Bombyx mori: one gene and its partners. The protein of the gene in region 6 purifies or fractionates together with the protein of the main gene of each other region. This does not show direct contact. Links are inferred from orthologs where the notes say so. Each region holds a gene or a part of one and is shown on either strand. Other genes may lie near its edges. The genes, in order: small nuclear ribonucleoprotein Sm D3, pre-mRNA-splicing factor SPF27, splicing factor 3B subunit 1, interleukin enhancer binding factor, small nuclear ribonucleoprotein sm d2, cell division cycle 5-like protein and puff-specific protein Bx42.

The links.
Region 1: the proteins of cell division cycle 5-like protein (region 6) and small nuclear ribonucleoprotein Sm D3 purify together in Homo sapiens (affinity purification with mass spectrometry; 3 studies listed by BioGRID and IntAct, with this or other methods). This does not show direct contact. The link is inferred for Bombyx mori from reciprocal best matches to the Homo sapiens genes CDC5L and SNRPD3.
Region 2: the proteins of cell division cycle 5-like protein (region 6) and pre-mRNA-splicing factor SPF27 purify together in Homo sapiens (co-immunoprecipitation; 8 studies listed by BioGRID and IntAct, with this or other methods). This does not show direct contact. The link is inferred for Bombyx mori from reciprocal best matches to the Homo sapiens genes CDC5L and BCAS2.
Region 3: the proteins of cell division cycle 5-like protein (region 6) and splicing factor 3B subunit 1 purify together in Homo sapiens (affinity purification with mass spectrometry; 5 studies listed by BioGRID and IntAct, with this or other methods). This does not show direct contact. The link is inferred for Bombyx mori from reciprocal best matches to the Homo sapiens genes CDC5L and SF3B1.
Region 4: the proteins of cell division cycle 5-like protein (region 6) and interleukin enhancer binding factor purify together in Homo sapiens (affinity purification with mass spectrometry; 4 studies listed by BioGRID and IntAct, with this or other methods). This does not show direct contact. The link is inferred for Bombyx mori from reciprocal best matches to the Homo sapiens genes CDC5L and ILF2.
Region 5: the proteins of cell division cycle 5-like protein (region 6) and small nuclear ribonucleoprotein sm d2 fractionate together in Homo sapiens (co-fractionation; 3 studies listed by BioGRID, with this or other methods). This does not show direct contact. The link is inferred for Bombyx mori from reciprocal best matches to the Homo sapiens genes CDC5L and SNRPD2.
Region 7: the proteins of cell division cycle 5-like protein (region 6) and puff-specific protein Bx42 purify together in Homo sapiens (affinity purification with mass spectrometry; 5 studies listed by BioGRID and IntAct, with this or other methods). This does not show direct contact. The link is inferred for Bombyx mori from reciprocal best matches to the Homo sapiens genes CDC5L and SNW1.

What each region holds. Positions count from the first base shown.
Region 1 is NC_085122.1:328,438-333,017, forward strand, and holds small nuclear ribonucleoprotein Sm D3, read right to left. Parts: upstream 2,974-4,580; 5' UTR 2,786-2,973; coding exon 2,476-2,785; intron 1,365-2,475; coding exon 1,282-1,364; 3' UTR 356-1,281; downstream 1-355. UniProt on the Homo sapiens protein: Plays a role in pre-mRNA splicing as a core component of the spliceosomal U1, U2, U4 and U5 small nuclear ribonucleoproteins (snRNPs), the building blocks of the spliceosome.
Region 2 is NC_085118.1:941,014-945,407, reverse strand, and holds the start of pre-mRNA-splicing factor SPF27, read left to right. Parts: upstream 1-1,549; 5' UTR 1,550-1,693; intron 1,694-1,863; 5' UTR 1,864-2,006; coding exon 2,007-2,081; intron 2,082-2,789; coding exon 2,790-2,953; intron 2,954-3,765; coding exon 3,766-3,978; intron 3,979-4,394. Other genes in the region: WASH complex subunit 3, read right to left, coding at 112-276, 434-490. UniProt on the Homo sapiens protein: Required for pre-mRNA splicing as component of the activated spliceosome. Component of the PRP19-CDC5L complex that forms an integral part of the spliceosome and is required for activating pre-mRNA splicing.
Region 3 is NC_085116.1:8,406,920-8,410,856, reverse strand, and holds part of splicing factor 3B subunit 1, read right to left. Parts: intron 3,431-3,937; coding exon 3,147-3,430; intron 3,046-3,146; coding exon 2,842-3,045; intron 2,737-2,841; coding exon 2,538-2,736; intron 2,163-2,537; coding exon 2,004-2,162; intron 657-2,003; coding exon 364-656; intron 1-363. UniProt on the Homo sapiens protein: Component of the 17S U2 SnRNP complex of the spliceosome, a large ribonucleoprotein complex that removes introns from transcribed pre-mRNAs.
Region 4 is NC_085130.1:10,889,536-10,893,472, reverse strand, and holds part of interleukin enhancer binding factor, read right to left. Parts: intron 3,539-3,937; coding exon 3,404-3,538; intron 2,591-3,403; coding exon 2,435-2,590; intron 1,002-2,434; coding exon 909-1,001; intron 1-908. UniProt on the Homo sapiens protein: Chromatin-interacting protein that forms a stable heterodimer with interleukin enhancer-binding factor 3/ILF3 and plays a role in several biological processes including transcription, innate immunity or cell growth.
Region 5 is NC_085132.1:3,761,773-3,765,276, forward strand, and holds small nuclear ribonucleoprotein sm d2, read right to left. Parts: upstream 1,907-3,504; 5' UTR 1,831-1,906; coding exon 1,829-1,830; intron 1,727-1,828; coding exon 1,474-1,726; intron 1,182-1,473; coding exon 1,077-1,181; 3' UTR 826-1,076; downstream 1-825. UniProt on the Homo sapiens protein: Plays a role in pre-mRNA splicing as a core component of the spliceosomal U1, U2, U4 and U5 small nuclear ribonucleoproteins (snRNPs), the building blocks of the spliceosome.
Region 6 is NC_085115.1:11,711,830-11,716,344, forward strand, and holds the start of cell division cycle 5-like protein, read left to right. Parts: upstream 1-1,453; 5' UTR 1,454-1,711; coding exon 1,712-1,756; intron 1,757-1,839; coding exon 1,840-2,105; intron 2,106-2,630; coding exon 2,631-2,761; intron 2,762-3,337; coding exon 3,338-3,497; intron 3,498-3,710; coding exon 3,711-3,879; intron 3,880-4,067; coding exon 4,068-4,202; intron 4,203-4,515.
Region 7 is NC_085130.1:3,035,461-3,039,397, reverse strand, and holds part of puff-specific protein Bx42, read right to left. Parts: intron 3,798-3,937; coding exon 3,653-3,797; intron 3,103-3,652; coding exon 2,969-3,102; intron 2,392-2,968; coding exon 2,250-2,391; intron 1,140-2,249; coding exon 1,043-1,139; intron 178-1,042; coding exon 34-177; 3' UTR 28-33; exon of another isoform or gene 1-27. UniProt on the Homo sapiens protein: Involved in pre-mRNA splicing as component of the spliceosome. As a component of the minor spliceosome, involved in the splicing of U12-type introns in pre-mRNAs.

The DNA of each region.
Region 1 (4,580 bases), on a different chromosome or scaffold from region 6:
AAATAAAAAAAAAGATTAACAGACAAATCTTTCAACAAAGTGGCTGATTCAGCACCCATCTGTTTAAAGCTGCATTCCACCAGCCCACCACCACGGTTCCTATTGCGTATTAGATTCAATAGAAGCGGAGGGGAATGTGTAACTAAAATTGGACAGCTCTGCAACAGCTGGTGCTGAGGTGCTGATGTGCAGTGTGAGCTTGTATGGTTAGACACCACTGTCCTGTGCGTCTGTACAGTGAAGCCGTCATGACTTCTATTATTATACTATCTCAGAAGCAGTAGTGGCCAGTGGAATTTGACTAATAATAATTATAGTTAGTTGACACTGCGTGTCTCATAAATAAAAACACTAGTTATTATCCAAATTGTTTTTTATTTGTTTTCAATCTTTTGATATTCACACCCACAACGACACATCCTATCACATATCTGCTGACAGTCTCAGTAAACTTGTTACACTGTTTGTAACTAATCTAAATTCGAACATAAAACATTCAAATTAAAAATATTTTGCATAAGAGGTTGTCGTGTCCTAAAGGATAAGATGCCGAGTTACACACATTTAACAAACATGCATGATTGTTGCAGGTTTTATGCTGCGAAGCATTCCAATTTGCCCATTAAGACAGCATTTATCCCAAACAGTACAACTGGGACTTTGATCTCAAACCTCATGGTAGGTGCAGGCCTTCATAAAGTCTATAGGCTCCAGTTACAGTGCAAAAAAATTCAAAATTATATGGATAAAACATTGTCAAAACTCGGCCATTGGTTAAGTTTGGTTTGTACAAGGCAGTTTATAATAACTTTTTATATTTAATTACAATAGTCACCCCCGCATAAACCACACATAGATATTTCCTCAAGCCAAAACAAGATTGAACTATTACCCATCATATGGACAAGATTTCTAGATTATTGGGACTGATATAAGGATAGAACATAGAGATTAAACATTGTATTGATTGGGAGTCACAATAAGTCACCATAGGGTAGCATCAGTGTGTAGTGTCTATTTGATCAAATGGTCCATGAGACCTAAGATGTGTAAAGCAGATTGAAGGGTGACCAAAATAAAAAAACAGAAAATCTGGAACAGGACCTTATTGTTACATTTGAGAACATAATAATAATCTTTGAACAAACAGTTGTTCTATTTCCAAAATTTGTATTTTTCTCACTTAGATATATCAATATATAAGAATGATAATGAAATAATTCCTTGACAATTGAAATATAAGACAAGTACAACTTAAGCTATCTAAAAAATATCTTAACGCTAGCGTCGAGATGGTCCTGACCCACCTTGCCAGCCTCCACGGTGGCCCCCACCTCTTCCACCTGCTCGTCCTCGACCAGCAGCTGAAAATTTCAAAGATTTGTATTTTACTTCTTGATTCCTCTAGATGTGTGAGTAAGCTTACAACCCACTTGATTAATGATTTACTGTGGCCCACAAACATCAAAATAAGGATGCTGGTTGGCATGATACTTGAGATGAGTATGAAGAGATACATATATTTGATCGCTCAAATGTATTGTAGTTACTGTCCAGCCCGTCAAATCAATTCACATTCCTGTTTAGCAACAGAAATTTGCCGTAATTATTTAAATACACAAGAATGGGTTTTCACAAATGTAATAGATACAGTTATTAGTTTGCATAACATTATGTAAAATAGGTTTTACTTTAGATGTGTGAGATTGTGTGCATTAGGTACTTGACATGGTCTCATCATTCACATATTTTCTTTAACCACCCAAAGTAAAATTGTCAATAACATATAGTTGAATGATTAGAAACAATTAACATTGGAACAAAATACTGATTTGATATTACAAAACTTAAAATTGCAAATTTGACATTGTATGTCTATATAAGCACTCAAGAATGAAAAATTGTAAAATATTCTCAATTACTATTAAAAAACTGTGACAAAAAATATCTATACAGGATATAAACAAACAAGACATTTAAAAAATCAAAGCTTCAAACTACCTATTTTTTGCTCATTTGACCCAATTGATCACTATGTATTCAATGCATTTGTACTAATTTTAATGAAGGCTATTTATTGATTGTAATTAAATGTGCTTATCTTTCATACTTGCATACGTTTTCTACTTAGAAATTTTCGTTTAATAATTTGGTTATATAGTGCAGTAATTGTTAAATAGACTTCACTCAAGTCTAATTTATAACAAGCCTAAAGAAATGGGTTGTTCTAAGCTAAAGATGTTTATTCTTTTTTAAGTCTTTGAATTAAACGAAATTAAGAACAATGCATATTCACAATTTCAGTGCTAGATGTAATTAGACTGCAAGTCAGACAGCACTCATTCATATATTAACACTCGTATGTTGTCTTGTTGATAATGAACACAATCACTACGTATGTGATGCGAGAGAACATTTAGGATACCTAGCTCGATAAACAAATCACATACACACTATTTTTATATTGTTCAATACCTTGGGCTCGCAGTATCGCACTCTTCCCTCGTCCTGCAGTAGGTTTATTCCCTTGTCTTTTGAACATTGGCGCGTTCTTCAACATGTCCGGTAATATTAAAAATCTGATCTTGGAACCACGGATGTACACATTCTCGAGCTGTGCAACTCGGCCATCTCTGTATGTGACTGTTACGAGAGTCATTTGGCAATTCATATTATCCTCAGCTTCAATTAATTTCCCTCTATAAACTTCACCGGTATTTGTTTCACAAGTCACTACATGACCTTCCGCCTCGTGAAGTACTTTAATAGGCACACCGATAGACATGTTTACGTTTTAGTTAAGAAAAACGTACGATAAAGGACAATAATTCAGTATTATTTCTTAGATTATTTACGATAAAAATGGGAAAGAATATTTCAAAAAAATTAGACGCTTCAAATCCATAGACATCTAATGTAATATGGCGGCGAGTTCCGTGCATAGACAATAGACATTTTTATTCATTCATTGACAGACAAAGACAACATAACCCATATTACCAAAAATCCATTATGATTTTTAATTCCCTTAGCATTGTGAAAATCAACTTTACTGGTGGTAGGAATGGTAGGATGTCTGCGAGTCCACAGAGGCAGACAACACTACCCTACCTATTCCTGCCGTAAAGTAGTACTACCTTTCGGTTTGAAAATGCAAGAGCATCGCAGGGTATAACTATTGAGATTTTGCAAAAAGTTAAATGTAATCTTAGTTAATTCCAACCATTTTTCTAAATAAATTACATTTCACTGTACATAGCCTAATAGACCTAGTTTCATTTGTAAAAAAAGCTAGGTGCTTAGGCTTTATGCTTGGGGTAGCAAGGGGGCGTGTAAATAGCCCTCCTGCGGCGGGAGCATATAAAGCGGGGTTGTAGAAAGGCGTGTAAATAGCCGTCCTAAGCGGTATGTGACAAATGTTTGTCACTTATAATTAGCGGAGCGGTAAAACTATATAGCGGTAAACAAAAGCTAGTAATCAAACTAAAGATATAAATTAAATACACATAAGCGAGCGGGCGGGCGAATGATTACACGAAGCAGCAATAAAATGGCAATAAATTAAAAGAACTTGCACTCACCTGTAGATCTTGCCAGTGACTGTCGTGCGGGCGTCGGCGATGGAAGCACGCGGGCGGCGGGAGGGGGTGACGAAGCTCACGTAGCTTTTCGTAAGCTCAAGCACCACACAATATACAAGTGCCGCCATCTAGGCAGCTAGCGGTAAAGCGTGATCGATCGGGTAGAACCACGCTTTGGGTAGTCGCGGTAATTAGTTACTGACAAACTCCAAAGGTGGCGCCATCCCAATAATTCATTAGCATCCCATTACTAAATCCGCGTGACCATCCTGCCCGCCTTGAAAGTTCGCAGGACTTTCAACAAATATATAAAGATACTAAGATAGGAAGCATAAAGCTTAAATAGCGGGAAGTTATTTGAAAAGAAACAAATTTTAATTAATAATAAGCCATCATGAATGTTTACGAGTAGAGTTGAAGCGGTTGATGACATGCGGTACTCTAATTTATTCTAGCGGTAGCGGATATAATTTTACAACTGGACGTTTAAGAAATCCAGATTTCGTTTTTACCAAAGCAACGCGTATAATGTTATCGGCACCTGGATACACCTCTTGTATAACTCCAAGTGGCCAGCGGAGCGGTGGAATGTCATCTTGATGAATAAGAACTACTGTCCCAACCTTCACGGGGTTATCTGATGTACACCACTTCTGTCTGACTTGCAACGTATGCAGGTACTCTAATCTCCATTTCCTCCAATAGGAATTAACCAAACCATCTAACAACGCTTTGCGATTAGTCAGACTCATCTGATTTGCGGACAATTCAGACGCGGGTAAATACTGCAAAGGAGTGGACATCAAAAAATGTGCGGGTGTGAGAATTTCGGGGTTGGGATCTGCGGATAAAAGACATAAAGGTCTGGAATTCATAAGACATTCTATTTGATTCAACACAGTTAACATCTCTTCGTAAGTGAGAATTTGTGCGCCTATTACTCTATTTAAATGAGTTTTAACGGATTTAATGTTTGATTCCCATAAACCTCCAAAATGT
Region 2 (4,394 bases), on a different chromosome or scaffold from region 6:
TTTCCAGAGAAGGTCTTGCAGAAATGGTTTATTATGACTAATGATAGAAAATAAAAACATTTTAGATATCCGTTTTTGTTTACATACAATAATTTATAAAAATATAATCACCTTAGATTCTAACAAAACCATGGCAGCATTAACTTTTTCTAATTTTCTCTCAAACTGCATCAGTTTCTGCTCGCAATTCGTCATAAAGTTATTCAGAAATTGTACATTTATTGTTAGGAAATGATTTACAAATGCCAATGTACGTTTTTGATGTAATGCCGCAACCTGCAATTTGTTTTTTAAATATTAAAAATAAATTATTCTCATTTATAAAAAAATATTGTGTTTTCTAGAATTAGGAAGTTTATAAAGATAATCAAGGCCGTGAAGTTTGTACTGCATTAAATTTTACAACAAATAATAATAATTCCAAATTTAAAACCTTAGTTAAATCCGTTTGTGGGGATTCGGATTGAGTTAAATCTTCTTGGATGGTCATTTTCAGTAGAATATAAACAAGACGAAAAAGAAATTTGTCTTGTGGTTTGGAAGCTTGAATTTGTTTTGTTCTACTGAAAAAACCAAATTGAATTACATTTCAATACATTGACTAATAGGTCCACGAGTTTTAATTACACTAAGTTTAATATAAAAAGCACCTAATTATTTTACAATAACAATCTTTTTCCTTCCGTGACAGTCGTACCTATTTATTTACGTTAAAAGAGTATGTAAGCAAATTAAAAGGAATATTTCAGTAGGTACAGTAGGTACGGTACCACCACCTAAGTCTGACATTATTATCATTAATTTACATTTATCAATATAACACTATTCTTTGACAATAGTGCTACTGTCCACTGTCAATATTTGTAGTAGTTCTATTTTTCCAACTGGAAAGGCAAAAGTATCATACGATACAGCCTAAGTTATCATTGTATTTTATGAAAAATGATAATATGAAGTAAAATGAAATAGAGTTGATTAATTTGAAACAATAATCAATTGGCGTGAAATCTAAGTAAAATGATGGTTATTTACTGAGACTTTAAGGAAACTGCCACCTCGCCCCGGGCAACAGTCTCATCAAAGAGGGTACACACACGCATGATTGCGTCGATGGTAGACCGGCCCTTTCTGAAGCCGTACTGTTCGGCTGACCGATTGGAACCCGTCCTGGGGATGGGGCAGATGACGCATCCACGACTTGCTCCAACAATTTTCTAGTTTCGTCCAGCAACACGATGTGGTGGTACACCACGGATGACTCCTAGAGGAGCTCCTCTTTCCTCAGAAGGATGAATCTGTCCGATTTCCGTCCGGGCTCAAGGCAGGCTTCGAAAAGCCGCACAAGCCAATCCTCCAAAGTACCGAAGGCCTGACCTGGCCACGACTCCGTAGGAGATCTAACAGCTAAGGGCAACTGCTTCGCGAATGTATCTGTAATAAAATGTCTAATTTTGTAGTAATGAAAGCTTTTTAATCACTGAATACATGTGAAATGGCACAAGTTTTAAAAAATCAAACAAACATTGGACGTGTTCACACAAATCATCCACTCCTAGACGTGCAGCGACCGTATTTATTAGATTCCTGCGACTTTCAGTAGGACGTCAGTTCACCTCGTCGAAAGTCTATCTAAGCTGCGTCGTGTGTGGCTGCCACTCGAGAATATTTTCAAAATAAGTTCGTTGATCTCTCAGTAAGCACCATTGTTTCATTATCAACTCATCTAATATCTACTCGATGTGTTCTTCTTTCATTAAATTCCATTTTATAATATAATATTAATTTAATATCAATTTATTGAATATCGAGGAATTCAAAAGATTTAGCTATATGGACTATATTTCTTTTGCCTGTTCATTTTAGGCTTAAAACTAGCTCAAACGAAGAATGTCACACAAGTGACACAACTAAAATCAAATAAACAAAGAACAGCGTTAAAACTTTAATATAAAGTGATAAATCACAGTACCCATTCGTAGTAAAGGGAGTTATAAATTTTGTAGAAAATGGCAGGAGAAGTTGTCGTAGATGCATTACCATATATAGACCAAGGATATGACGATCCTGGAGTAAGAGAAGCTGTAAGTATTATGATAACCTTACTTTTTTTAATTCTTGGACCATTTCCTTTACAACAAAGATTCATATCGCTTTAGCTTTGACATCTAGAGAAAGAAATTCAATAATCATTTTGGTATTGCTGGTCTGAACGACCACACTTCACAAATGTGGGTTATATTCTCGTCTGCTTCAAAATGCGCAGTCACCGCTGAGAGATTTATATAAAAATGTTTTTTTTTCGTTGTTTCTTGAACATGTATGCTATTTCGAAGGACTTCCTTTTTCGAAATGGAATAATTTCACCTTTAGAATAAACCGATTTGTATAGTCTTGGTTCGACCACTGCCAAAGATCAATTTGAAATTAGATTTCTGTTTGTTCCTTTTTGCATTGAGTGATACAAAACGAAGTAATTTTGGTAATATTCATCTTGGTCAGTCTAGGAAATGCAGAACTTCTAGGAATTTTTGCATACACTGTAAGCTACAAAGCACTTTTGCTTCAATTCTTTTTCAATTTTAATGTCAATTTCAAATTCAATTCAATTCACGATTTTATTATTTTGTTTCATTGCTATTGTAATAATTGATTGTGTGACTGGGAAGCTGTCTCAAAAAAGTATTATTAAAGCACTTCTTATTGATACTGCAGTATAAAATGTCCTTATAATCAAACCTACTTATAGAAGACTCCTTAAACTACCCTTAAATATGGGAATTGATTTTCAGGCATTGGCCATGGTGGAAGAAGAGTGCAGACGCTATAGACCCACAAAGAACTATCTTGAAAATGCAGGACCAGAACCAAGTTCTGCATTTGAAACTCCTGCTTTACAACGAGAGATGGAAAGAGTGCAACAGAGATTGCCGATGGAACCATTGTCTATGAAGAGGTGCATAAAACCTGCAATTTTTTTTATTTATTATTTTGTTCTTTTAATTTGCACCACCCACCTTGAGATATAGGGTCTAAGGTCTCAAGTATAGTTACAACGGCTGCCCCACCCTTCAAACCGAAACGCATTACTGCTTCACGGCAGAAATAGGCAGGATGGTGGTACCTACCCGCGCGGATTTACTAGAGGTCCTACCATCAGTAATTACGTAAATAAAAACTTGCGGGTTTGATTTTGATTCTTCTTCTTCTTCTTCTTTGTCGTTTCCTCATTACTGAGGGTCGTGACCACCTTGGTCCAGCTTTTGCACCAGCTTCCTCCAATGCTGCCTGCATTCGGCCTGCTTAATGGCTTGATTTTGATTACATGATGTAATTCCTTCACCATGGAAGTCAATCATGAACATTTGTTTAGTAGGTATTTCATTAGAAAAATTGGTACTCGCCTGGGATTCGAACACCCAGTGTATTGCTCAACACGAATGCACCGGACGTCTTATCTTTTAGGCCACGACGACTTCAATTAAGTTGATAGGTTTGTAAGCTAAGTTGGTATTTGAGTCAGCCTGGCTACTGATGCCACAGTATGAACATGATGATAATGAAGTAATAGTAAGATTGTGAGGAGATATAATATGTAGGTCTGTAACTTTTACTAAGTGGTATCTTGTGATGCTGACTGTTAATATGCCAAATCCTCTGGTCATGTTAACAAACATCACTATTGAGTGATCACGTGATGTAGTGAAGCACAGGAATGTGGTTTTAAAAAAAAAACTATTGAAATATTATGTATAATTAATTCCTCAGGTATGAACTTCCACCCCCTCCAGTCGGAAGAATGAGTGAACCAAGTGCCTGGGCCGAGTCAGTTGACAACTCTCATGCACAGCTGTCACACCAAGCTATCAGAGTTCTCAATTTAGAGTTGCAGTTAGAGTACGGTTCAGAAGCATGGAGATCATACCTCAATACACTTCAAGCATTAGTCACAAGAGCTCAAAACGAACACAACCAGTTACGGTAAGAGATGTATAACATAGAAATTATATTTAAATGGTTGTTAGTTTGACAGGGAGTCTATCTTCGATTATAGAGCCTAGGGAAGTAATTGTCTGTTGCTTTGACCCTTATTGCCTTTCATAGAAACAGTAGGTTAGAACTGCTTGTAGGATTTTATATAACTCCAAACTATTACAGTCAAACCTGGATAAGCGAGAGTTCAAGGGAGCACAATCTCATTCTCGCTTATAGAGGTTTCTCACTAACCCGAGTTTCTCTCTAATGCTCCCTCTGAATTTCATTTAGAGATTTTACGGATTCAAACGAATTCACTATTTTAAGTTTATCACTTAATGACAGCAATTGATTAACGATAAACTGAGTAAGTCTGACAAACAAGATGGTACACAGGCACACGTGTCCATTCGAAAAGAATG
Region 3 (3,937 bases), on a different chromosome or scaffold from region 6:
TCCAATGGATATACAGATGTGTGTGCATATTATGTGTATGCAACAACTGGCCATCTCTCTCGCATATCTATAAATCATATTACATTAATAGCAATAATGTTATGAAACATTAAATTGTTTTTTATTTTATTATTTGAAATCTTTTGAATTGATTTGATATTGATTTGAATAGATATTGGTTAAAATCTTTTGTTATTTGAAAATTAACCCCACCCCATACCACTGCAAAATGTTTCTAAATCAGAAACTTTAATTAAGAAATGTTTATATGTAAACTTTCTTAAAACATTTATAGGCGATAGAAACATGAAAAAATCAATAAGCACCAAAAATAGAATTACAAAAGAAAAAAAAGAGACATACTTTTAAGACGATTTTTTTCATTTCTTCATCGGGCGACTGGAACTCACGAATAAGAATTAGCATCACTTCTCGTGTGTAGTAATTCGCGTATTCTGCATCCATGAGAGGGATGAGGTATCCGATGGCTTTCAGGAATGCAGCCAGACCTTTACCACGATGCGTACGAATACCTTTCCACAGAGGTTTGAGCACGGAATCGAAGGACTCGATACCGTAGGGCGTGGCGGCCTCGGCCAGAGCCGCGCTCGCCAGCGCCGTGATCGTTCGGACCTTCTGTTGTTCGTCCACCAGACCTATTGCATAAAATGAATTATTTAAATACTGTAATTTAAGAATCTTTTTTTTCCCTACCTAAGCTGAAAGCCTTGAGAAGCTATATCAGCGTAACCTTAACTAGTAGGTAAGCTCACGGGGCTCAAACCTGACGACGTTGCTAACACGAACCCTAGCAAGAGCCGTGCTTCGCAGAATCTACCACCGGATCGGAAACGCGACCCACTGAGAAGATTCGGCGAGAAACTCAGTGGGCTGTGTCTGAGGGTTAATTTACTCGTCGAGCCCTTCGTCGCAAGCGACGGGTTCGACAAGAACGATGGCCGGTGCTTGAGGTACCTAAAAGCACCGTTAGTGGATCCGGAGGATCCGAAATGACGTGTTTAGAATCAACTAGACAACCGAGACATTAGTTATGTTTAATGTAAAACTGAGCGGCGGTACAGACGATTCTATTGTGTCCATTAATCGCTAACACTAGATCGCATCTGTTCATCAACGAAAATAAAATAGTATGTAGTTAAGAATAAAAGTTGAATGTCTTACTTAGAATACTAATGCAAAAAATAAGTATTATCTACCTATTATTACAAAATATCACCAAATATTGTGTCAACAAATACATGGCGTAACTATATCTTTGGGCTACATTATATTTATAAATCGAATAGAGGTAAATATTATTGTTAAATAATAATTTATAATAATATCAATTTTATTTTTATTTTATTGCCGTAGTAGGCAGACGAGCATACGGCCCACCTGATGTTGAGTAGTTACCGTCGCTCATAGACGTCAGCAATGCCAGGGGCAGAGCCAGGCCGCTGCCTGCCGCTTAATACTCTCCACAAGCCTCGTTTGAAGAAGGACATGTCATAGCGCTCGGGAAAAACCGGGACCTTATTACATTATTACAGTAAATGTACAAATACAAAAATATATGTTTATACTAATGATCGTCGTCAAGTCATTAATGCAAAGTGATATCCAATTATGTTAATTGATTGGTCTTTAATAATGTGTAAAGTTTCAAATTAATCAGATGTTTCTTAGTTATTAAAAATTACTTTATAGGATTACACAGGTAAAAATACGGGTTAAACTAATAGAGGCATATTAAGAATACACTGATTAGATTATATTCTATGGTTTACGGAAAAGATTGGTGTTTTTTTTTTAGTATAGTTACAACAGCTGCCCCGCCTTTCAAACCGAAACGCATTACTGGTTCACGGCAGAAATAGGCAGGGTGGTGGTACCTACCCGTCCGGACTCACAAGAGGTTCTATCACCAGGAACCACTAGGTGTTGTGGCATTCCGAAAGTTTCAGTAAATCCTTAAAATATAATTAAAATATTAATCTTACCATGTTCAATAATTTCAACAAGAGATTTCAAATGTGGCAGAATAGCACAGCCCATCAGAATAGCAATTTGTTGCACAATCTTTATTCCTGTGTGACGTGCTTGCCAGGATTTCTTAGATCTGCACACAGCTTTTAAAAATGGCAATAAAGATGGAATACCTGGAAAAAAAAAGATTTCTTTTATGGTGTTGAAGATGTGTTATGTTAACAACAGCCTATGTTAAAAATAGCTTATTCTTAGGATAGGAATATAATAATAGGGAATAGCAAGTATGCAAACTTGAACAAATTATTATAATTTCCCCATAGACTTAACCATACCACTAACTCAAATCATCATGTTCATAAGACTGTCAAAAAGATTGACAGCAAACTATAAAACAGATTAAATTACATGTGTTAGTACGGACCCTGTCAGTATTTTTTTGTTTTTAGAGGAAACACCATAGAGGCATAAGACGAGGCGAGGGACAAGAAGACGACAGTAAATATGCCCTTTAAAAAATAATTAAATATTCATATGACAAAACTTACCCAAGGCCGATGCCACTACCGCAAACGCTCGAGCGGTTGTGTTTCGTACATACTCATCTATGTTGTCTATATCAGGCCTCATTGTAGAAATCATAGTAGCCAAGCCGGCTGCTTTAGCTAAATTTGAAATGATCTCGCGACCTTCGACACGCGCATAATAATCTTCATCAATAAGCAGAGGTTCAATGACGACAAGAATCTGACAAAATTCAAATAATTTAGGATAAAGAAAAATAGGTTTGTTCTAATGTCCTTAATTACAATTAATATTTTGATGTTTTCTTTTTTTTATTATAATATTTACCTTATGTACGTAGGGTCGAACCAAGTCGTCTAATTTATACAAAATCCTGTCTATGACTTTGACCAGTAGATGTCTCTCTTGATCTTCCAGCGTAGGACTCATCAGTAATGGCAGAATTTGATTGAAAAGTGGTCCAGCACCGAATTCGCGAGCTTTATCTGTTATTTGTCGTAAGGCAGCTTTGCACATGGGTGGCGTACCGTTCTGCAACATGATAATAGCATTTTGTTTTTTAATTTTTCACTCAATATGTTTACATCAAAATCAAAATGATTATTTAACGTTTACGGTAAAAATCATCGAACCTTTATTTTCAAAAGAAGCTTCATTATTTTCCGTTCCTTAAGTTCGTCGGGAGAGAGTGTATCCTCGTCGACGTCGATGAGAAGTTTGTCGAAGTACTGGGCGTCCTCGGGCTTCATAAAGGGCAGCTGCTGGTTACCCTTGGGCTGAGGGTCGAGAAGACGCGCGGCCGCCGCGGCCGAGCCGCCCGGCTCCTCCGTCTGCATGAAAAACCCGATTGGAGTACCACCCAACGGCGTGGGCGTCGCCGTCAGCTTGCGGGCCGGCGTCCGAATCGGGACGTACCCTGGGCAACAATACTTGCTATTAGGTTTTATTTTAAATTTACAATCGTAGATAGGCAGACGAGCTCAGGGCCCAGCTAATGTTAAGCGGTGACCGGAGCTTATATGCACCACAGTGTGAATGCCGCCGCCCATCTTGAGACATGTGATCGATATCACAGTTGAGTTAGTTGAATTGTGATTATTCTACCCGACAATCGCTAACACACTTCTTTATGCCAGAATACGCTGCTGCTTGGAACTCCCCCAGCACATAAGACAACAATTGGGGGGTTAAAAACGAAAAGAAGACGATGTTGTCACTACAGGTATGGACAAATTCTCGAAGAATATTAGTAGTAAGTCGTAGTTGGTGTGTTTCATCTCAGTTCACCATGTCGCTAAACTTGAGATTTCATAACTAAATATGTATAATATGAGCATGTAAGATCCCCTAGTTTTGTGTTGGACTCCACCGTCGTGTTTATAATCAACACTCTATATTTCAATATAGGCATTGTACATCAACT
Region 4 (3,937 bases), on a different chromosome or scaffold from region 6:
TGTATTAATTTTGTTAATACTAGTCAAAACATAGGCAAACTAAAAAAATTAATATATGAATAAACTATTATAAACTAAGCTGTTTTGACAGTATTTATGAAAAAAATACTGGTGATATCAAATGAACCCGCATATTAACTTAAACTTCTTTAAACATCTAATATATAAAATTCTCGTGTCACAATGTTCGTTCTCATACTCCTCCGAAACCGCTTGACCGATTCTCATGAAATTTTTTATGCATATTCAGTAAGCCTGAGAATCGGATACTATCTATTTTTCATCCCCATAAGTGATTAGGGTTGTCCACCCCTAACATTTTTTTTTTTTATTTGGACATTTTTTTTTGTTATAATGAGGTATTATGTGGTTGAATGAGGTTTTGTTATTTTTATTATATATTCCCTCATCGTTTACAGCACTACATACCTCTTTCACTCATTTACCACATCCTTACACACTTACAATAAGTTAGGTTTTCTTTGTACACTAGAAATTCCCTAGAAATCTTATATATGGCAAAACAATGTTTGCCGGGTCAGCTAGTAATAATATATAAAAATGAATTGCTGTTCGTTAGTCTCGCTAAAACTCGAGAACGGCTGGATCGATTTAGCTAATTTTGGTCTTGAATTATTTGTAGAAGTCCAGGGAAGGTTTAAAAGGTAGATAAATATGAAAATGCTCGGAATTAAATAAAAATAACAATTTTGTTTTTCCTTTGATGTGTCCCCTGTCGGATGGATTCCTTTTGTTTGTTTTATGTTTATTTTATACAAAAGTTTAGGCCTTTTATTTATCGATTGCGGCACTACGAAGTCTGCCGGGTCAGCTAGTTTCGAATATTTTTGGAAATTGTACACTTTCAATGCGAAAATACGGTATGTATATAATTCATGATAACTCACTTTAATTGATGAATGATGGGCGTTCTCTTCAAACCAGCGACTGTGTCTTATCGCTGCTAGATGACTGCTTATCACTTTATAGTCTAAATGTACCTACAAATAAATAATTATAATAAATAAATGGGTACAAATTACTCATAGTCATCTGGAGTCTGAAGTCGTCGTGGCCTAAAGGATAAGACGTCCGGTGCATTCGTATCTAGCGATGCTACGGTGTTCGAATCCCGCAGGTGGGTACCACTTTTTCTAATTTAATACGTACTCAACAAATGTTCACGATTGACTTCCACAACGAAGGTATAATCGTGTAATAAAAATGAAACCCACAAAATTATAATACAGGTAGGTACCACCACGCTGCCTATTTCTGCCATGAAGCATTAATGCCTTTCAGTTTGAAGGGTGGGGCAGCCGTTGTAACTATACTTGGGACCTTGGAACTTGTATCTCAGGGTGGGTGGCGCATTTACGTCGTAATGTTTATGGGCTCCAGTAATCACTTAACACCAGGTGGGTTGTGAGCTTGTCCATTCAGCTAAGCAATAAAAAAAAAATTGGGTACAAATTACTTGTGATCATCTGACCCCAAATTAAAATTCACTGTATTGTGGGTGCCAGATTGACAAGCATACTCATATACAAATATACAGTCAATGAGCTAACAAGCTTATTCTCACACGAATGTTTGCCCAATGTGGGAATCAAACCCACGACCCTGGGCCTAACAATCAGGGCTGCTAACTTCACAACCAAGTTGATCATAACACATAATAAATGAGTATGGATATTCATGAATGCTTATTGATGCTCAGTATTCATTTATAGAAGCACAGATATATTATATTTAAATATTAAAAAGATGAAAGTATATAAATCATAAAAAAAATATATAAATTAATTTGTTTGCCATGCTTCTCTTAAAACCTCACTTAAAATAAATTTAAGTTCCATGATCCACACCGAGCTGTAGACCAACTACATATATTTCGATTTCTATTGAACATTAATTTCCCTCTTTTTATTTTTATTGTTGATTGTTTTTTTGTATGTTTTTATATGCAGTTTTTTCTTTTTTCTTTTTGTTTATTTGTCTTAATTTTAATATTAGTTAACGATATTTTTATCTAACGCTTTTAAGCAAGATGTGTTCACACCCAGAAAGGGTGAATTCTATAATGTATTATTTTATGTAAATAAGTTCAATGTTTATGTGTGCAGATTTTATCTAGTTGTGTGAAGAGATAAGGTTGACAGGAACTAAGTACAGAACTCGGCTGGAAAACCACCCAAATACCCTAGCTAATGCATTGACAAAAGTCAGTTACATCAAACGACTGAAACGTCATGATATACAGGGAGTTGGTGACATATGGTGATCAATGAAGAGTATTCTGGTGGGGAGCCTCTTGGACGCGATGGCACACGTAACGCATCTGCTCACAGTCCAGGGCTGATCGCAGATAGGCACAAAAAAAAAAGTTGTGTGAACCTAATAAAAAAATTAAAAAAATTAAACAAATACTAACATCAGGCTCTATCTTCCTTAAGTTCTGATGCAGTGTTGTGATGAGGACCCTGACGGCTGCGGAGGTCCCGGTGACAGTGAAGCCGCGCTCGTGACACGCGCTCACCACTGCACCGCTGCCTTCAGCCTTCATCAGCTTGTTCACCTCCTCGTTAACCTGAATTAAACCAACTACTTCAATCTGCTTTTACATTGCCATCGCACACAGAAGATCCACTTAATGGTGAGCGGTTACTGTGGCTTATGGAGTTCAACAATGCCACCAGCACATCCAAGCATTACTTAATAATGAGTTACTGTCATTTTAAGGGATTTTATCACCTGGTAACTAAGACCTTTAAGTCATGTCTTATTTTAATTTATATTCATATTTTTATGAAAAATGATATCATGGAGTGAAATGAAATGAAGATGATTAATTTGAGACCTTAATCAACTGGGATGAAATTAAATAAAATGAGATGAGATAATATAGAATGACATATATAATCTCAGTAAAATGGTGGTAATTTACTAAGATTTTTTCAGTGGACTTTTTGGAGGATCCCGAAAAGTTACGTCCAGCGGCTTTGTTTTATTTTCCCACATTTGTGCACTTTCACAGATATTAAACAGTTAATAAACCACCGTTATTACGCATTTAAACCTCAAGAAACACTAAATAGACAAAATAAAACAAATCACACAACTTAACTCCTTGCGTTCCAGCCAAAAAGTTGTGAGTTACTGTCGGAAGACATTTTAACCTTTTTTATTTGCTCAGAGTACATTTCATAATTAGTTATTTTGCTTCAATTAAACCTCATGTTTAAGGTTACGAAATCAAACAGACACTGAAAGTTCTTACCTTTCTTGAGATATAAGGACAATGACAATTGTATATATTGGTATATCGTATTGAAGGACATATTTATGGTAGTCTACGCCTTTGGTACCTATTCTATAAACATATATACACACAAAAGTGTACCTTATTGGAGAGTCCCTCGACAGCCTCTTTCGTTGGCAAAGTTTTCATGATGACTACGATATCAGCAACGTTCTTCCCGGCCATCATTGTCCCCTTCTTGTAGGACCCAACTTGCCGCACTTCTTCTAGTTGCTGCTAACCAATACATGTTTATATGATTTATCACAATTAAGATTTCTACAAACAATAATATAAAATGATAACAAAAAAACGAAACATATAATACACAAAATCACAGTCCAGTCTTATCGCTAAGAGCAATCAATTCACATAGACAAAGAAAGGATTAGGCACCAAATCAAATCAAAAAATTTTTATTCAACATAAATGAAAGTACATACTTGTTGAACGTCAAAAGAACTACCGCCAATTCACAAGAACTAGCCTCCGTCCTGAGAAGAATTAGCAAGAAACTCAGCGGACATGTCTTTTTTTTTTTAATGTTTTTTTTTTTTTAAATATTAGTTTTTTTTTTTTTTAACCGTTCTATTATCACCAGTGAAACTAGCCTGTTTTCGTTTGTGTAATAAAATA
Region 5 (3,504 bases), on a different chromosome or scaffold from region 6:
CCACAGGAAGTATATCTACCTGCTGTTGCAGTTGTATTCCAACATACTCACTTTGATTTAGATTTCATAGCTTTGAGACATATAGTTGTCTATTATACATAGTTGTCTATTATAAAAACAGACAGTATAACAAACAGACAGTAATAACAGTAATTTTATTATAGTTTCATTTTTGAAAGTTCCATGAAGTTCTTCCCTTATTGTGAAGACCTTTGCATATATTCAGTTCTAATTTTATTACCACATTGAACACCAGACTAGAAATCATGTTTAGTCCAGTGGAATGGTGGACACCCTGTAACAACCATTTACTTAGGTCTATGACGACACTGTCTGCCATTTGAAATATCTCAGAAAACAATACTTAGTCACTGTTTCCATACCTCACTCATTACTTTTGAGTAATTTCTTGAGAATATTTTTGAAAAAACACTACATTTTTTTACCCTAGGGGAAAGTATGCTGTGGACTCATAGTGTCTGTCATGAAACCAACATGTTAACAAAATATTGGACTGGACTGCACAGCTTAATCCCATGATGTACATCAGATCTAATTTGCACAAATTAATAAGGGGCTATGAAAAAAATCATATTAAAAACACACTTTTACACTTTGGTTTATTATAGAAATTATAAACTTATTGACAGGTTTGTGGACTTCTTGACCATTGTAATTTTGCCATGTTTCTTTAAAAATGTTAAAGCATCTATATTTTACAAAATTGTTAGTTACTACTTGCACCAAAAGTAAGTATCTTTTTTTCAATTTTGGTATGTTCAGCCACTAATATGAAGTTATTTTATGCTAATATTAACAACAATACTGGTGAGACTCTTTTAATGCATCATTATAATAACTGATCGTTTTTAGCTTTATCTTACAATATGTGAACTTGATACAATTTCAATATATTAAAATATCGAGTTTGTTTATTTATTACATATAGTTGCAGAATCATAGAACTAACACAGTTTCCAATTTTGTAAAAGTATTATTACAGTTTAAGGAATGAACCAGTAAAGCTATTCATTTCCTGAATATTTTATTCATTAATACTTAAACTAATTACTGCATTACTTCCCTGCAGCTGTAGCAAGAGGATTCCTTAGTACTAAGATCACAGAATCACCGCGGAGGAACATTTTGGAGATGAATTTGTCCTTGTTTACAGCTTTGCCCTGAAAATAAAACCAGAAGTTATACGTATTTTGAATTTGAAGAGTTTTAATGAAATGAGCTAACACAGAATGTTTCATATCCACATAATTGTCATCTTGGGAATTTCCAGTGGTTTGTATTTTATCTCCGCTAATATTGGCCTAAAATACGCGACATCATGTCTTATTGTGTACTTTTCAAGTTGGAGCTGTAGCACTTTTATACATGAGCGCTTGGGAGTGGTTCCTATTTCCAATACATAACCTCAAATTTCTGAATCAATTGAACTGAAATACAGTAACATCTGTTTACCTTCTTTCCTTTGCCAGTTCTCGGTACCTCAGTCCACATTTCCTTAACATTCTCCAATACCATGTTACAATGCCGGTCGAAAGCCTTCACTCTACCCAGGAGTTTCTTATTGTTACGGCAATTTATCAGAACTTGTGTGTTGTTCTTTACTGACTGCGTGAGCACGGAAAGAGGTCCGGTACTAAACTCTTCCTCTTCGATTTTAGATAGCTCTTCTAGGGTCATTTCAGAGCGTGGCTTAGTTGTTGACGTCCTATAATAAGGTTAACATTAGAGTTATTGTTGACCATTACCGGCTAAGCAGATAATATGTTAAATATATTGTTAAAACTACGTAAATCATATTAATACTTACATTTTGTATTATTTTATGGGCTTGTGAACTGAGAAATTGAGTGAAAAAGATTACAATTACAGCAAAACTATCGTACACACGCTAAGTCGACGCTTTATTTTGTCTATGGTGACTCTGCTTTTTAATTCAACAATTTTTTGTAAGGAATTTTGTGACCTGGTAACTAAGACTTGTAAGTCATGTCTTATTTTAATTTATATTCTTAATTTTATGAAAAATGATAATATGGAGTGAAATGAAAATGATTAATTTGGGACATTAATCGACTGGGATGAAATAAAATGAAATGAGATGATATGGGATGAAATATAATATAATCTCAGTAAAATGGTGGTCATTTACTGAGATCTTTTCAGTGGACTTTTTGGAGGATCCCGAGAAGTTACATCCAGCGGCTTTGTTTCATTTTCCCACATTTGTACACTTTCACAGATAATACACAGTTAATAAACCACCGTTATTACACATTTCAACCTGAAGAAACACTAAATAAATAGACAAAATAAAACAAATCACACAACTTCACTCCTCGCGTTCCCGCCAAAAAGTATTATTTCAACAAACAATTATGGCCACTAAATGTCAGTTTTTAACTCGACACTGACATTGATGAAATCGTAAAAAGACGGTGGTAATACTGAAATTAAAGTTAACGAAGAGTTTCGAAAGGAGACTGCACGTCAAAATGGATCGTGAAACCCTTTCAAGATTTATTGAAAGTTATAAGTTCCACATTTTTGTGGAATGTCTCAAGCGCAGACTATATGAATAAACCAAAAATAATAAACGTATTACAATTTTTAGGCCCATTTTAGGGGAAGCTGCAAGGATTGATAGCGTGCGTAAAAAATGATATTAATTATTTGAGTATACTCTGCACGTTTAAAAAAATCATCCAAAACCTCTTGCTATTTTTTGCCTCTCTTCTGCTGCTGCTGACAACATCAGAAGGACTCCCATTTTTGGCGTTTTGATAAAGCAGCTGGCATTTTAACTTAAAACCCTCATTTAATTCGTTCGATTTATTCTGTTCGCGCTTGATACATCCAGCACTGCGGTCTTGAGCTGACGTACAGCCGTGACGGATCGTGAATAAAGCGCTAAATGCATCGTGCATCGTGCATGGCCTTGGCGGGACGTACAGCAAGATGGATCGTGAATAAGGCGCTTAAGGAAATTTTAAAATACAAAGTCATGATCATATAATCAGCAATTTTGTATATGCCATGCTTATTTTATGTTAACGAACTTCATATTCAATTAAATTTCTTTATTTCATTACCGTATTAAAGAAAAGGAAAATAAATGAAAGCGATTTCAGTATATTTTATTGTTTAAGGAACTCTTAAAATCGATTTTTGTCTGTTTGTCAGTGCGTTCGAGCCGGTAAGTCTCCACAGCAGCTGAACCATTAGGAGATGTTCTCTTATCCGAACGCGACGCGGCAACGCAAAGCCACCGTCGCTCGAAACATGTCTTGTGAGATCCCCCGGATTCACTCTCCGTGCTTTAGGCCTCTCAATCACCGGCTACCCTCCTTATCGAACTCGTCGATCACTAGCAAATTCACCCATAGACGGAGATCACCGAGTTTCTCGTTGGGTCTTCACAGTGGGTCGCGATTCCAACCCATGTGCTTAGTGCGAGTTTTTTAACGTTCTCGATAAAGTAAAGTA
Region 6 (4,515 bases):
CCCTACACGTAAATTCAACAATTCCTGAATCACGGTCATAAGATGTCACACAGTTGATAGATGTTCTCGTATTTCTCTTGCTAAATCAAAAGAATGGAAAGCAGTCGACATCACCCCAAACACGTCATTTCGGATCCTCCCGATCCACTAACGGTGCTTTTAGGTACCTCAAGCACCGATCACCGTTCCCGTCGAACCCGTCGCTTGCGAGGAAGGGCTCGTCGAGTAAATTAACCCTCAGACACAGCCCACTGAGTTTCTCGCCGGATCTTCTCAGTGGGTTGCGTTTCCGATCCGGTGGTAGATTCTGCGAAGCACGGCTCTTGCTAGAGTTCGTGTTAGCAACGTCGTCAGATTTGAGCCCCGTGAGTTCACCTACTAGTTAAGGTTCTGCTGAAATAGCCTCGCAAGGCTATCAGCTTAGGTAGGAAAAAAAAAGCTAAATCATACTTACCTGGCGTAGGGATACCGTGATTATGCAGGCGGTTTCCACAGGGTGAGGCTGCTCCATTGCACTGCGGGTTGGTTGATTCTTGCGATTATTTTAATTTTTATAAGTTTCACTTCTACCGTGTCACACGTAATGTGTGTGACATGCACACACACATTTTTTTCTTCTGATTTTTCTCATGATGGCTTTTTTTTTCTTTTTTTTTTTGGCTTAGATGGTTGGACGAGCTCACAGCCCACCTGGTGTTAAGTGGTTACTGGAGCCCATAGACATCCACAACGTAAATGCGCCACCCACCTTGAGATACAAGTTCTAAGGTCTCGAGTATAGTTACAACGGCTGCCCAGCCCTTCAAACTGAAACGCATTACTGCTTCAGGGCAGAAATAGACAGGGCGGAGGTACCTACCCGTGCGGATTCACAAGAGGTCCTAACACCAGTAATTACGCAAATTATAATTATGCGGCTTTTATTTTTATTACACGATGTTATTCCTTCACCGTGGAAGTCAATCGTGAACATTTGTTGAGTACGTATTTCTTTAGAAAAATTGGTACCCGCCTGAGATTTGAACACCGGTGCATCGCTCAACACGAATGCACTGGACGTCTTATCCTTTAGGCGACGACGACTTCATATGAGAAAACTTGGGGCAGTTGTGTCATTATTTTTGAGTGCGGTTCTAGAAATGTTATGTAGGGTTACGGTTCCAAAGTTTAAATGAACAAAAATAACAAAAATTAACCACAATAACCGAAAAATGGTTAAAGTTTGACCAAATTTCTAGGTTTTTAATGGCCATAATTTCCAAACTGGATGGGATAGATTTTTTTTCTGATTTTTCTCATGATGGTTACAATCAATCCTGTCACCCCGTTTCGGCTTGACGTTGAGTTCTCACACACCCTGTATAGTTTAACAAATAAGATATGACCTAAAGGTCTATGTTACGTTAGGTCATAAAATAAAAAATATATATATTGAAATTTTTATTTTACCTATATCTTGTGTATGTATTGTCTATGGATTAAAGGCTATATGGGCTTAGATCCCCTTGCCTTTCCTAATAAGGAAAATTTGTACAAAAAAAAATGTCGATGGATTATAGAATTTAGATTTCATTGATTTATCCTTACATCTCAATTTATTAAATTTTCGCTAAATGGAGACGTTTTAATGAAAATTATTGCATATTTAAGTAGTAGTTATTCAAATTTAATTGATTTCATTTATTTATAAGCTGAATAAACACTATCCAACATGCCCCGGATTATGATAAAAGGTGGCGTTTGGCGCAACACCGAGGTTTGTTATTTTACTATTTTGTATTCTTTATTAATACTTTCTTATGATTCCTTAATACTAATGTTATTTGTGTGTCACTTTAGGATGAAATCCTTAAAGCGGCTGTAATGAAATATGGGAAAAATCAGTGGTCTCGTATAGCTTCGTTGCTCCATCGTAAATCTGCAAAACAATGTAAAGCCCGTTGGTACGAGTGGTTAGATCCAAGTATAAAGAAAACAGAATGGTCCCGAGAAGAGGACGAGAAGTTGTTGCACTTGGCCAAATTGATGCCAACTCAGTGGAGGACCATTGCTCCTATCATCGGACGTACTGCTGCACAATGTTTGGAAAGATACGAATATTTGTTGTAAGTAATTAATTATCTTGTTAAGTTTGAGTTCCTTGTATCTAATAAAACAGAGTAAAGTAGTTAGGTTTGGTTTCAATCACTCACATAGGTATCTGAAAAAGTTGCTTTGGTGTTAGCATCAATAATTAATCACACTAAACAAATCAGGCAACAGTAAGCAAGATAGATAGTGTAGAACTAGAGATCTGAATTGACCATCTTGTAGTTTGTGTGATGATTAAATACAATTATTTTAATATTCTAAATAGACAGATGGGGTTCATAGACATCATAATGTGAATGTGACTGCCATACAGCTTTAGAAATAATGTGGAAATCAATTGTTTTATGCAACGGCTATCTCGCTTTTCAAGTTTAAAGCATTCTTCTTTCAAGCATATTTTCCAGTTTAAAAATGCTGGATCTTCGGCAAATGGAACAGAAATGGAACAAAAACACAGGTTCACAACACAATCTGTCAGACCACAGATGCTTATCTATGAATATTATAAAATTCTGTAAACTCCTTTAATTCTCATCTAGAGACCAAGCCCAAAAGAAAGAGGAAGGTGAGGACATGGGTGATGATCCACGTAAGCTGAAGCCTGGTGAGATTGATCCTAATCCAGAAACAAAACCTGCTAGACCTGATCCAAAAGATATGGATGAAGATGGTAAGCAAATCATATTTGAAAAATCATTTAGTCTTTTAGTTATGAATTCAGTTAATAATGTGAATTTAGGTTAGAGTTCACTGTATAGTTTAGTATATTTTTGCATAATTGAAAACACAGAATGTAAAAAGAACCATTAGCTCTTAAAAATGAAGACAAGTTAGTGATAGTTATGAATTCCAAGTATGTTGATGATGCACTTCATGCTGATTTCAACAACAGCAACAAGTTTTTACATCGTCCCATAAGTGATATACTCATTTTAGCTGTATATCTTTAAGAATGTATGTGTGAACAACATCAGAAGTTTACACGTGCTGTGTTTCATTTTTGTGTCACAATGATCTTTTTCCTTCAAATTTATAAAAATGAAGACTAGATAAAAAATTATTGTTGATCACGATATAATTTTGGCTTTAAGAGTGATACTTTTACACCAGCTAGAGAGGCCATTTAGAAAATGTACACTATAGACTTTGAGGGTAAAGAACGAGTGCTGTACATGTACTTCACAGCCAAAGCTTAGAATTGTATTGTTTCATGATTTTTGATTATAATTTTATTCTTGATAACTAGAATTGGAGATGCTCTCAGAAGCTCGTGCACGTTTAGCTAACACTCAGGGTAAGAAAGCTAAAAGGAAGGCTCGTGAAAAGCAATTAGAAGAGGCCCGTCGTCTTGCTGCACTACAGAAGCGAAGGGAACTCAGTGCTGCTGGGATAGCTGTACCATTAAGGTTTAAAAACACAATAAGTTATATGTATATGAAATAGACAAAAAAAAGTAAATATTTTACATTCAATTGGTCGTGTAAAATTGAGTAACATTTTTATATTTTTTAAGATTGTCTTTGCATAGGCGGATGAACAAGCTGATAGCCTACTTGCTGTTATTATTATTATTATTTATAATAATATTATTATTAATATAATGCTTCATTGTTCCCCAGGCGTAAAAAAAAACGTGGCGTTGATTATAATGCTGAGATACCATTTGAAAAGAGACCAGCGTCTGGTTTCTATGACACTTCGACTGAAGTAGTTGATCCCATGGCTCCTGATTTCTCAAGACTCCGACAACAACACCTTGACGGTGAATTACATTCTGAGAAAGAGGAGGTTGGTTACATGTACTTAATTTATACTTAAAGTTGTTAAGTTAGGGAAGTAAGGAAGTAGGGAATATGAGATGCTGCTTCTATCTACATTTTTTTTATATTCATGTATATTTTTTCTACCTATCTATTCTGTGGTTAAAAATTATAAAGATTTTATTTTATTACAAAATTTTATTCTAATATTTTTAGAGAGAACGTCGCAAGGATAAGCAAAAGTTAAAACAACGCAAGGAAAATGATGTGCCACAAGCCATGCTACAAGGTGATGCTCCGGCAAGAAAACGCAGCAAACTTGTGCTGCCAGAGCCACAAGTTACTGATCAAGTATGTTATTTTTTAATTCCATCTATCAAAAGTAGATCTACTGTGATCATTGATAGACCAAATATCAAAAACTTTAAATAACTGTTGAAAATTAAAATATTGAAGAGAAATCAAAATTATAAGTTTTTACAATTATTTTTTTTTTTTTATTGCTTAGATGGGTGGACGATCTCACAGCCCACCTGGTGTTAAGTGGTTACTGGAGCCCATAGACATCTACAACATAAATGCGCCACCCACCTTGAGATATAAGTTCTAAGGTCTCAGTATAGTTAAAACGGCTACTCCACCCTTCGAACCGAAACGCATTACT
Region 7 (3,937 bases), on a different chromosome or scaffold from region 6:
TTAGGTAGGGAAAAAAAAAGAGCTCACGTCGGATCAGTCGCGCCGCTTCTTGTTGTGGTGGTCGTGTCGGTCGTGGTGGTCGCGCTTCCTCGACGACTTGTCGGCTCTCTTCGCCTCGCTCAAGAACCGATCCAGACCGAACGGATCGAAGTCAGCCTCCGACTGGTTGCTGCGAGACTGCAAAATACATTTATAATGGTGGTAGGAACTCTTGTGAGTCCGCACGGGTAGGTACCATCACCCTGCCCATTTCTGCAGTGAAGCAGTAATGCGTTTCGGTTTGAAGGGCGGGGTAGCCGTTGTAACTATACTTGAGACCTTAGAACTTATATCTCAAGGTGGTCGCGCATTTACGTTGTAGATGTCTATGGGCTCCAGTCACCTTAACGCCAGGTGGGCTGTGAGCTCGTCCACATATTTAAGCAATAAAAAAAAAAATTAAAAAAAACAGCTATGAAAAATAAGCTACAGCATTGAGAAAATTAATTTAAAAACAACTCTGGTAGTTTGTGTGTGTCAGCGTTGGTAAGAGGGATTGGATTTATACTGAAGCAATACTGTAATTCATCGTTTCCCAAAGTGTGCGATAACGCCCCCTCGTGGGCGCTGTAGTAGTTTTTCTCGCTTTAGTAGTTTTTAAAGTAGGTGAAAAAATAGGGGCGCTATAAAATAATTTATTCTCAAAGAGGACAGTGGACAAAAAAAAGTTTGGTAGCCACTGCTGTAATTATAAAGTTTGTTGATATTTTTATTAAATCATCGTTGATCACTAATGCTTATCTAGGATTTAAGTGATTATCTTACTGAGATCTCATGGTCTACTGCACAGGAAAAATAGGCAGGACATTGCTATCTACTCATAGGAGATTACAGCAAACCAATGTCCCAATGCCTTCATCATCAAAAACAATAGTAGACATGTCCCGACTTCAACATATTGAGACTGTTCTTCACCCATATAAAAACATCAGGCACGGTAACCATTATAAACCCTTTTCCTAATTCAATCACAACTGTTCATATTAAGCCCATGGGAACTCACGGATTCGTCTCTGCTTGGAGCATCCTTCTCAAACTGCACCGGTCCAGAGCGGGTGTTGGAGCTGCTGGTGCCGGCGAACTCTTTGTCCGCCACGAATCTGTCAACAAACATGACATCTCATATCATATGCCACTGACACTACACAATGTCCATCTCAAACATCTATGTAATACAACAGATTTGCCAGTTTTAATTTTTTTATTGGATTATCGGTCTATCCGGTGTTATATCAATAAAAAAAATTTAATAAAAATCACGCCACGTTAACTGGTCCCGTGCTAAGTTCGTAAAGAGCTTGTGCTACAGGTACCAGATAACGGAAATAAATGTAAGATTTTTATTATACACGTACATATATTTAATATACATCCATAACCCTGGAAAAGACATTTATATTTATCATACAAATATCTTCCCTTGGCGGGATTCGAACCCGCGACCGCCTTGTGTAGTGACCATGTCACTTACCACTACACCAAACGGCCGTTAAATATCAATAGACATTGGAATGCACAATGTTTCACTGCAGAACTGGGTAAGATTGTATGCAGCTGCCTTGTCTATAGACAAGGCATCCTAAAATCAGTCCCATTCGCGGGGAGAGCAGGAATCATTTGAAAATAATAATGGAGAAGGCACTGCTATCAAGACATACATGGTTGTCTGAGTACTAAAAATATAGAGTAATAAAGTAGGAGTAATAAAAAAACCATCCTAACTGAAATGATAAGATTGTTTTAGCTTTTTAAATAAATATTTTAAACGCAGTCTGATTTTATATTTCATTTAAATTAGTTTTTTTCCTACGTTTTTGATTATTATTATATTTTAATCTCACAACTGAGACAAATAACACTTCGCATTTTAGAATCCGTTCAGGGCCGGATTTAGGTGAGAGCAACCGGGGCCCCCACAATAGACTTTGGAAAAAAAATCTTTCCAATTCCGACAAGTAAACACTAGTAAATCTTTTCTTCTCCTTCGACATTGCTTTTTTCGTTGTTTTACTTGACGTTAACACTAAAATTTTGGGGCTAGGGAGGCCTCCGCTCCTCCTAAGCCCTGAGGCCTCCAGAACTCTAAATCCGACCCAAAATCCGTAAAAAGGCTTGTGGCGCATGCCAACCAAGCACATATACCCACACATATTCAGTGCACACAATTTTCGGGAATATTAAATTAAGAGTTTCCCTGCGGTCAGGGTCACCTGCGCGTGTTGGCGACGGCCTCGAGGTCCCCGTAGGAGTCCCGGTCGGCGTGCCGGCTGGGCCTGTAGATGTGCGCCCCGACGTTGTCCTGGTTCCGCCACGGCTTGTCGTACACGTTGTACGCGTCGTCCTCTCCGTAACCTTGTTTAAATAAATTTAAGGTTGAATTTCGTGTGGCAAAAAGTATACCCGTTACTATGTTTTTTTTTCATGTTCACCAGGTGAGCCGTGAGAACGTTCACTAGTTCATAAGTAATAAATAAAAAAACATGCGTATTTGATATGACTTTTTTTGTCCCAGATGAGTAGGAGTGGTCCAACTAGATGCCGACCATCGACCTTGAGACATGAGGTCGATGTCTCAATAGCATTGCGTCTGTCCTAACCTTTAAACAGGCATGCATGACTGCTTTACTGATTCCACCGTCCACGTTACGATCACCCATCTAAGCAATATAAAAAGAAGAAAAAAAAAGGGTTGTGTTGAGATGATGGTTAATAGAGGAGAATGGAATAGAATAAAAATTTTTTTATTGCTCTTGTAGGCAGACGAGCATACGGCCCACCTGATGGTGAGTGGTTACCGTCGCCCATGGAGGTCAGCAATGCCAGGGGCAGAGCCAAGCCGCTGCCTACCGAACATTCGCTACGCCGACCCCACCTGGGGGGATGTGGTGGAGACAAAGAAGAAGACAAACTGTGAGGCCTCTAGCCTTACCGCTGTCAATTCCCTTGCTGTTGTTGAAGAGTCGCTGGTCGAACATGGCCTCGCCGCCCTGGTTGGTCTTGGCCGGCAGCCCCAGCGCGATCTGCTCCGAGATGTCGCGTTCCCGCTCTTTCGCGAATTTGGACCTGGAATTAACGATATATAATAGTTTAAAAAAAAAACTAACAAAATACGCGTTTATAGAAAATCCAACCAAAAAAATAGAAAATAAATTTTAATAAATTTCAATTAAAAATAGAGTAAGAAAAAAATATTTTATTATAAAAAAAAAGAATCTTAAGATTTTTTTAAATTATGCATAAAATATACATTAAATGAATAAAAAAATATGACACCACCATACCATGTATTTGACACACACAGGCATGCATACTATTTGTTTATTGTCAAACTTTTATTGCTTATAATCTGTGGTCAAATTGAGAACAGATTAAATATTGTTTGTATTTATTAATATTTGTCTATAGTGTAGTCTTGGCGAAATCTGTGATTATAGTATAATAAATAGTCTTTGATAATAGAACCTTAATAATATTCAAACTTAAATTAATTATAGTCGAATTTCGACTACTGCGGGACCACTAGTTCCTATAACGAGACAAGCTGTCCCGATCTACAATACTAAATCAATCTCAATTACTCATATACGAGAACTATGAAGAAAAACACACTCACCTTTTGTCCGGTGCTGCTCGAGCCATGTTTCTTTCGCGTTGCCTCTCTTTGTGCCTCTCAGCCCTCAGCTTGTCCCTCTCCGCCACACTGAGACCGCTCTCATCTATCTCGGGCTGTTCCACATCCTCTTCTGGTGCCCGAATACCTAATTAATATATAGGTAATATTATGTTCCAAGGATTCTTGTAATTGCTTATCAACTTTTAAATAGTCTTACCATCATCACTAGATATTATGTGATGATTTAAGTCACTCATACAAGTCACTTAAAGTGCAATTAATCAA